Coturnix japonica: one gene and its partner. The main gene of each other region encodes a partner of the protein of the gene in region 2 in a complex. Links are inferred from orthologs where the notes say so. Each region holds a gene or a part of one and is shown on either strand. Other genes may lie near its edges. The genes, in order: RAB25 and RAB11FIP2.

What was found.
Region 1: the proteins of RAB11FIP2 (region 2) and RAB25 are in contact, whole or in part, in a crystal structure (PDB 3TSO), measured with the Homo sapiens proteins. The link is inferred for Coturnix japonica from reciprocal best matches to the Homo sapiens genes RAB11FIP2 and RAB25. Residues at the interface, in NP_055719.1 of Homo sapiens: Arg475, Glu478, Ile481, Asp482, Asn483, Leu485, Val486, Met489, Pro493, Ser494, Leu496, Arg497, Val498, Pro499; in NP_065120.2 of Homo sapiens: Arg34, Ile45, Gly46, Val47, Glu48, Phe49, Ser50, Thr51, Lys62, Trp66, Arg73, Arg75, Ala76, Ile77, Ala80, Tyr81.

What each region holds. Positions count from the first base shown.
Region 1 is NC_029540.1:80,785-84,697, reverse strand, and holds the start of RAB25 (ras-related protein Rab-25), read right to left. Parts: upstream 2,374-3,913; 5' UTR 1,935-2,373; coding exon 1,895-1,934; intron 1,594-1,894; coding exon 1,398-1,593; intron 1,219-1,397; coding exon 1,025-1,218; intron 940-1,024; coding exon 859-939; intron 1-858. Other genes in the region: ragulator complex protein LAMTOR2, read right to left, coding at 2,612-2,668, 2,907-2,996, 3,389-3,551, 3,666-3,733. UniProt on the Homo sapiens protein: The small GTPases Rab are key regulators of intracellular membrane trafficking, from the formation of transport vesicles to their fusion with membranes.
Region 2 is NC_029521.1:26,280,171-26,283,983, forward strand, and holds part of RAB11FIP2 (rab11 family-interacting protein 2), read right to left. Parts: intron 2,875-3,813; coding exon 2,789-2,874; intron 2,288-2,788; coding exon 2,173-2,287; intron 1,738-2,172; coding exon 1,692-1,737; intron 1-1,691. UniProt on the Homo sapiens protein: A Rab11 effector binding preferentially phosphatidylinositol 3,4,5-trisphosphate (PtdInsP3) and phosphatidic acid (PA) and acting in the regulation of the transport of vesicles from the endosomal recycling compartment (ERC) to the plasma membrane.

The DNA of each region.
Region 1 (3,913 bases), on a different chromosome or scaffold from region 2:
GTGGGGATGGTACAGCACGGCACAGCACGGCACTGTACAGCACAGTATGGCATAGCACGGCACAGCACGGCACTGTACAGCACAGTATGGTACAGTCACAGCACGGACGCATGGCACCGTACAGCACAGTATGCTACAGCACGGCACAGCAGCGGCACTGTTACAGCAACGTAGATAGGCATAGCCAACGGCACAGCACGGCACTGTACAGCACAGTATGGCACAGCACGGCACAGCATGGCACCGTACAGCACAGTATGGTACAGCACGGCACTGTACAGCACAGTATGGCATAGCACAGCACAGCATGGCACTATACAGCACAGTATGGCACAGCACGGCACAGCACGGCACTGTACAGCACAGCACGGCACTGTACAGCACAGTATGGCACAGCACGGCACAGCATGGCACCGTACAGCACAGTATGGTACAGCACAGCACAGCATGGCACTGTACAGCACAGCATGGCATAGCACAGCACAGCACGGCTCAGCACAGCACGGCTCAGCACAGCACTCCCTGCGGTGCCCCTGCCCTACACATCCATTCCTGGGGAGATGCTCCCGGCTGAGCATTGCCCCTCTCTGCCCCACGTCCCTGTGGGTTGCTCTGCAATGAGCTGGACACACTGAGTCAGGAGCATCCGGACCGGGACCATGGATTACAGGGGATGAAGGCACCTGTGGGGCCGCCTGAGGCCCCAGCAATGAAACCAGAGCGGAACGCCCAGCACAAAGCGCCGGAAACCCAACCAGCCAGAAAGACAACAGCGAAACTCAGGTGGGGCAGGGCGGGGGAGAGGCGTGGAGCATCCCCTGCCCCACAGCCCAGCGAGGACCCACAGCCAGCACCCACCCTTCAGGACGGTCTCAAACGCCTGCTCGACGTTGGTGGAGTCCAGCGCCGACGTCTCAATGAAGAGCAGCCCGTTGTTCTCTGCAAGGACAGCAGACCCCAGGACCCTGCAGACCCCGCTGGGCTCCCACCGGGGTCCCCACGTTGGGGTGGCACAACGCTGTACCTGCAAACATCTTGGCCTCCTCCGTGGGCACCTCCCGTGCCTGCGCCAGGTCGCTCTTGTTGCCCACCAGCATGACCACGATGCTGGCCTCGGCGTGGTCATAGAGCTCCTTCAGCCAGCGCTCCACCACGTCGTACGTCTGGTGCTTGGTGATGTCAAAGACAACCAGAGCACCCACAGCCCCACGGTAGTACCTGGGGGAGCAGCCTGTCATCGCCCCGTGCTCCAGGCAGCCCTGGAGCATCCCCACAGGGATGTGAGCACAGGGCATCCATCCATGGGGCACGCAATGGGACATCCATCCATAGGGCATTCATCCATCCATAGGGCACCCATCTATCCAGGGACACCCTCGGGTGCCATCCATCCTTACGCAGAGGTGATGGCTCGGTACCGCTCCAGCCCGGCCGTGTCCCAGATCTGTGCCTTCACCACGGCGTCTCCCACCAGGACGGTGCGGGTGGAGAACTCCACGCCGATGGTGGTGCGGCTGTCGTGGTTGAACTCATTGCGGGTGAAGCGGGACAGCAGGTTGGTTTTGCCCACGCCGGACTCCCCAATCAGAACCACTGAGGGGGGCAGAGGGATCCCATTGGACTTCAGATCAGCTTAGATAACCCTTCATTGCCTCAACCAGACCCAATGGCATCCCACCGCTGTGGCATTGCAGCACTGGGATGTCCCCAGTGCCATGGGGACATTACAGAAAAGCCTTACAGAAAAGGAAGAAAAAGGAGGAGGACCCTCTGCAGTGTTGGCTGCAGGCACAGCCCCAGCCCTGTCCTGCTTTGGGAACCCACAGCCTGGGGAGGGCACTGTGCAGCCAGGGCCCCCCCGTCGTCCCATCCCGTCCTTCTGGGCCCCCCTCACCTTTAAAAACAAAGTTGTAGTCGTCCTCAGTGCTGCTCATATCTCCCGGCTGCCGCCCGGTTTCCTCCTTCCCTCCGCAGAGCTCAGAGCGGGGCGGGCTGCAGGGGGTGGTGAGGGGGGCAAAGTCTCCTCTGTGTCGGGGTGTGAGGGGGGTCCCAGCAGTGAGGGGGGTCCCAGGAGGGAGCGCGGTCGGGGAGTGAAGGCGACGCGGGCGGCGCAGGGAGGCCCAGGGCGGCTGAGTGCAGGCTGGGAGCGGCAGCGCAGGTTGGGCAGGTAATGTCACCCCTGGAACCGTCACGGGGCACCTGGAGGAGGAGCCGGGCCCGGTCCTGGCTGCCAAGGCCACGCGGCGCGGGGCAGCCTGGGGCACTGGGGCCCTGGGCTCAGCATGGAGCTGGCCGGGCACCAACGGCCGCCTGCACCTCTGCTGCCAGCACAGAGAGATGGGAACGTGGGGGAAGCAGCCCCAGCAGGGACAGCACAACGCTCCCAGCTGCACCACAGACCCCTGGCTGGGTGCACGGCTGACCCCGTCCCACCCTTCCACCCTGCACTGATCTGACAGACACTCAGGACACGAGCACCACACGTGGCTTTATTTCCCCTCCCCTGCTGCCCAGCAGCACAGCCGGGCTCACAACACGGTTCCCCCCGTGCAGGCGCTGCTCTCAGCCGTGGCAGCGCGGTTCCATGCTCAGGATGCAGCTCAGATGCAGCTCAGGATGCGGCCACCTGCGTCAGCGGCTCCTCCAGGTATTGCACCAGCGCCTGTGCCTGGGGCAGGGATGGTGGTGAGGGGTGCAGCCCCCAGCGCCCACATTCTGTGGGCAAACCCCCGTCCCACCCCAGCACCAATCTGGGACCCACGCAGACAGTTCCCATTTTGATTGCAATTCCTCCCCCATCTCTCCCATCCTCTTCCTCCCGGCTTTAACCCCGTGGCTCTTTCACACCTCACCGTAATGCAGCCCCCCACCCCCTCACCCCCATCCCCTCACCCCCATCCCCTCACCTTGGCTTTCAGCATCCCAAATCCCACCGTCTCCTTGGCGTACATGCACAGCAGGAGGTTCGCCACGCGGGTGATGGCCACGCGCCCCTCCTGCCGGAGAGAACCGGGGTCACACGGAGATTCAGGGGGTCACAGCGGGATTTATGGGGTCACAGTGGGATTTATGGGGTCACAGTGGGATTTATGGGGTCACATTGAGATTTATGGGGTCACATTGGGATTTATGGGGTCACACTGAGATTTATGGGGTCACACTGAGATTTATGGGGTCACACTGAGATTTATGGGGTCACATTGGGATTTATGGGGTCACACTGAGATTTATGGGGTCACATTGAGATTTATGGGGTTCACACGGACCCCTTGGGCTCCCACACAGAAGCTGCTGCTGAACACCTCGGATCCCACTGTGGGTGCTGCTGTGGGTCCCGCACACCGGGGGTCCCGCATGGATCCCGTGGGGTCCCGCAGCCGTTCCGTACCATGCAGTCCATGAGGATGAAGCGCAGGTTGTCCTCGTTGAACGCGTGGTGCCCGTTCTTGTCGTAGGCCACCCAGATGTTGCTGGCGATGGCCGCGGTCACGCGGGCGTCCGTGTCTCCGTATCCCGAGTAGGCCAAGAGCGAGCCCTCATTGTTCAGCAGCCTGCAACGGAGCGGGGAACGGTCAGCTCCGGGCCGAGCCCCGCCGTGACGGTACGGTCACATCACACCGCAATGACCGTACGGTCGCACCGCCCCCGGCCCCGTCCCCGCTCACAACGTGCTCTGGACGCCGCCGGTGTTGGCCTGGCTCAGCACCTGCGTCAGCGCTTTGGGCCGCAGCATGGCAGGCAGCGCGGGGCGCGGGGCCCGTTCCCGGTGTAGGCCGCCCCCGTTCGGTGTTTGCTGCCGTTCGGTTCCGTTCGGGGCGGTTCCGCGCTCCGTTCCGGTTCCGGTTCCGTCGCCTCTCGATCCTCCCCGCCGCCAGGGGGCGCTGTGCTGCGGCGCGGGCCGTGGCGGCGCTCT
Region 2 (3,813 bases):
ATCTTTTGTCCTCCTTACTTCATCCTCCTTTCAGTTCTTAATTAGGCCTTAAAGAGCTCGCGCTGCCCTTTCAACTGGCTACTGCTCCCACTTAAGCAGTGCTGTCAGAGACAGGTGTTGGCACCAGAGCAGGAGACACACAAACATAATTACTCAATGCGATGCGCAAGGAAGAAATGCAATAAATTGGTGAGGGTTATTACAGCAGAACCCAATAATAAATTACCTCAAACACCTCAGAAAGCAATCTGGAATATTTAAAAATATATATATTCAAATGGTTTCATTCAAAACTATGGTTGTGATGTAGTTTCTTCTCCTAATTTTATTTTGTATTAAATGAGCACCACATCATAATCCTGCGGCTGACATTTAGAATAGCTGCTGTTCCGAAAGAAAAATCATCAAGGATTTCTTTTATCACCTTTAAATCCTTTAAATAAAACAATTCACATATTATTTCTTAAAAAGAATCATAACGGCGCTTTTACCAGCAATAAATTACACAATTTCCAGTAGCACATTTGCAAGCACATAGAAACTGTAATTACGGCCACTTTACAGACAATAGCTGCAAAGTTAAATCAATTTTTTTTTTGATGTGTTTTGTCAGAGATTAAGTAACCGCCTGGTAGAATTCAGTTTACTATCTGATCAAAGGCAGCATTCATATACGCTGACATCTCCCACCAGTTACTTGCATTAAAAAAATCTTGGGTGTTTATAAAAACATCAAATATCATTAAAGGACATTTACATAAACCAGCCAAAAGCAAATAGTACAAAGTCATATTTCCCTGTGAAACTTGTTTTCTATATATTGTAAAGATTGAAAACAAACCCACTCTTAAAGATTTGATCTATTCACAGAATAAATTTGAGCAAAACCACATTTTTCTTCCAAAGATGCTGCACAGACCATCTGTGGAGTTTGTTTTGTCTTTTCTTCCTAGTACACATTTTTAGCTACTCTGACAGTAAAAGAGTATTTTGAATAATAACTTTTAGTATTAATTTCTATTTTAAGTGTTTCTGCAAGGCTGCTCATTTATTATTTTTGTTATGAATCTCACCACGTATCAGCTCATTACTTTCATTTGGATGAACCAGCTAAAAATGGTCCTCCAGTCTCAGAGCCTGGTGAAAGGAAACACCTGTTATGATGGCTAATGGAACCCGCCTAGTGCAGGGCTCTCACCTGACTGCATTTCTCTAGAGCTATCCATCATACCCCAGTGTTTCTTATTTCTCTCCCTGTACAGATCTAATTTTCCCTTTCTTTTCTACATTGTAATACTAGAGGTTATCCAAATATTTTACACATTAAGCATAAAACTCTTCTTTATTTCCAAGTTCATTTCAGTTTTCTTATTTTCCAATTAGATTTTCTGGAAGGCAATAGGCGATAGAAGGCAAGACAAAAATCATAGACTCATAGACTGGGTTGGGTTGTAAGGGACCCTCTAGGCTCATCAAGCTCCAACCCTTCTGCCACAGGCAGGGCTGCCAACCTCCGTATCTAAAACTAGACCTGGCTTCATCCAACCTGGCCTTGAACACCTCCAGGGACAAAACAAACAAGCAACAAGCATTTCCTTATAAGAAATTAAAAAAGAATAGTAGCTCATATTGTATTGGGCACCAGCTAGTTTGTATTTGCTGACAGCTTTTCATAACACTCCACAACTTACCATTGTTTTCCTGAGGTCCTCAGTGCCAGAAGGATTCACGTTAAAACTGTGGAGGAAAAACAAACTAACATCAACTGTGTACACTTATTTGGCCAAAACTTCTACTAGAAATTACTACTGAACTCAGAGTACTGGCTGCACAAGGTAATTATTACCATTTATTTTCTTGACTTGTCAAACTTAGAATAACTAGGACAACCCTTGAAATTCATACAAACTTTCATATTTGTGTGAATATGTGAATATCTCTATTCACAATTTTTGATATCATTCTAATATATGTTCACAGTAAGCAGTACAAAGATATTACAGATTGGTCTAACCCTAGCAATGCTGCCATGGCTCACATAGTTGCTATAGCAAGTTTTGAGAGAAAACTGAGTCTTAGAGAAAGTGTGCTCAGAATTTGGGTATGACTCACTAATAGTAATTCCTCAGTAGCACCTTAGTAGGCATCTTTCTTTCACATCACAAAAACTACCATGTACTCAGGTTGCATGTATTGGCTGTCAAGGGTGGCATCTGTTGACAGAGCTTCAAGAAAACACATCTCTGGGTCTGGCTGCACCCAAACTGGTAACAAGCTCCTGCAAATGCTATGACAGGCAGTCAGAAGCTCATTTCTTTCCTATTTTTCAGGCTAGAGAATCTCTATGGCCTAAAACTAATGTTTAATTCCACAGTCAAGAAGCTGATACATGAATAAAGACAAATTAGTAAAAAACAAAAAAAACAAAAACAAACAAAAAAAAACCCTGCAATCTATGGTTGAAAAAATAATTTGGAAAGTACAAATTGTACACTTTTAATTTTAAAGGTAGCTTGAAGTAAAAAGCACGTGTCTTGTGCCCATCACTCTTTGATATCTGAAATTATAAGCCATATATTTCATGGCGTAAAAATGGAAGAGATGCAGCATACAAACCGATGTTTTACTATGTCCTTTTATTTCATTTCAAAAATAGTCTTTCCTTCATATATAGTAGTTCAGAGAACCATCTGCTAGACTGAAGATATTAGAGGAAGATTGGATTACAGTCACAACCAGAAGTAAAAAGGCGTCTGGAGAATCGAGGTCTGGCTAACCCCCATTGTACCTGTTTGTAACAGCGATCTGAAGCACTCTGCCTGGAGTTTGCTGGAGAATAGTTTTGAATGATGGGCTGCATTCATCGGGTATTGTCTAAAAAGCAAAAAGGCAGGAACCCTCCCTCATGGTCTGCATTTTAGTTTCACACTGATGTGTCAAACACATGATGAACTTGCTTCATTCATGGCTGCCTTTTGTGATCCCAGGGAAAAAAAAAAAAAAAAAAAGAGTTAACTGAACTGGATCAAATTAGCTTGGTGAAAACCAAGAATGTCTCTATTTAATGAAGTGTGGCGTTAATTTGGGATATCTTTCTTTTGGGACTGTTTCCTCATGTTAGACAAGATATGGAATAATACAGCCTGACTGCTCAACTAAGCGAGCTTCTGAAAGGTTAAAAAAGCAAAATCTTTCATTGCGCTGAATGACTTTCTGTGCAATAAGTTCTGGGACTCCCTTACACAGCAGCTGCTTAAAAGGAACAGTTCTGCCTATGAAAAGTTATGCTTCAAAATTAGAAATATAAATCACTGGCAATATGGATTAATCTTTTATTTTCATCTAAAAACTCAGCAGTCACTTCTGTAACACTACGAGTGCAATTACAAAAGAGCACATCTGTGTGTTTCACATGAAGTAATCTGAATATCCTTACAAAAAAAAAAAAATAATGCTAAAAAAACCAACAACAAAAAAACTTATTAAACAGAATATTCACCAATAAAACCCCAACCCTACGAATACTCATATTTTAGAGAGATATGAAGAAATATACTGCTTCTCAGTGAGGCAGGAAGAAACAGGTGCTGGGATTGCATGCAGCATGTTTAAGTCAGCCTGTCCAACCAACCAACGTGGGAGCTCCGCAGCCCCACCGAGCCTTGCAGGGTTTCCTGCCAGCTCCTCCAGCCCGAGGTGAACGTGAGCCGTTGCAGACTCTCCCAGCTGCACCCATAACTCACTGTCCAAGAGCCCTGTAATGCCTTGAAAGAGCATACTGTAAAATTATGAATGCATGCAGTTGGGGGAGTT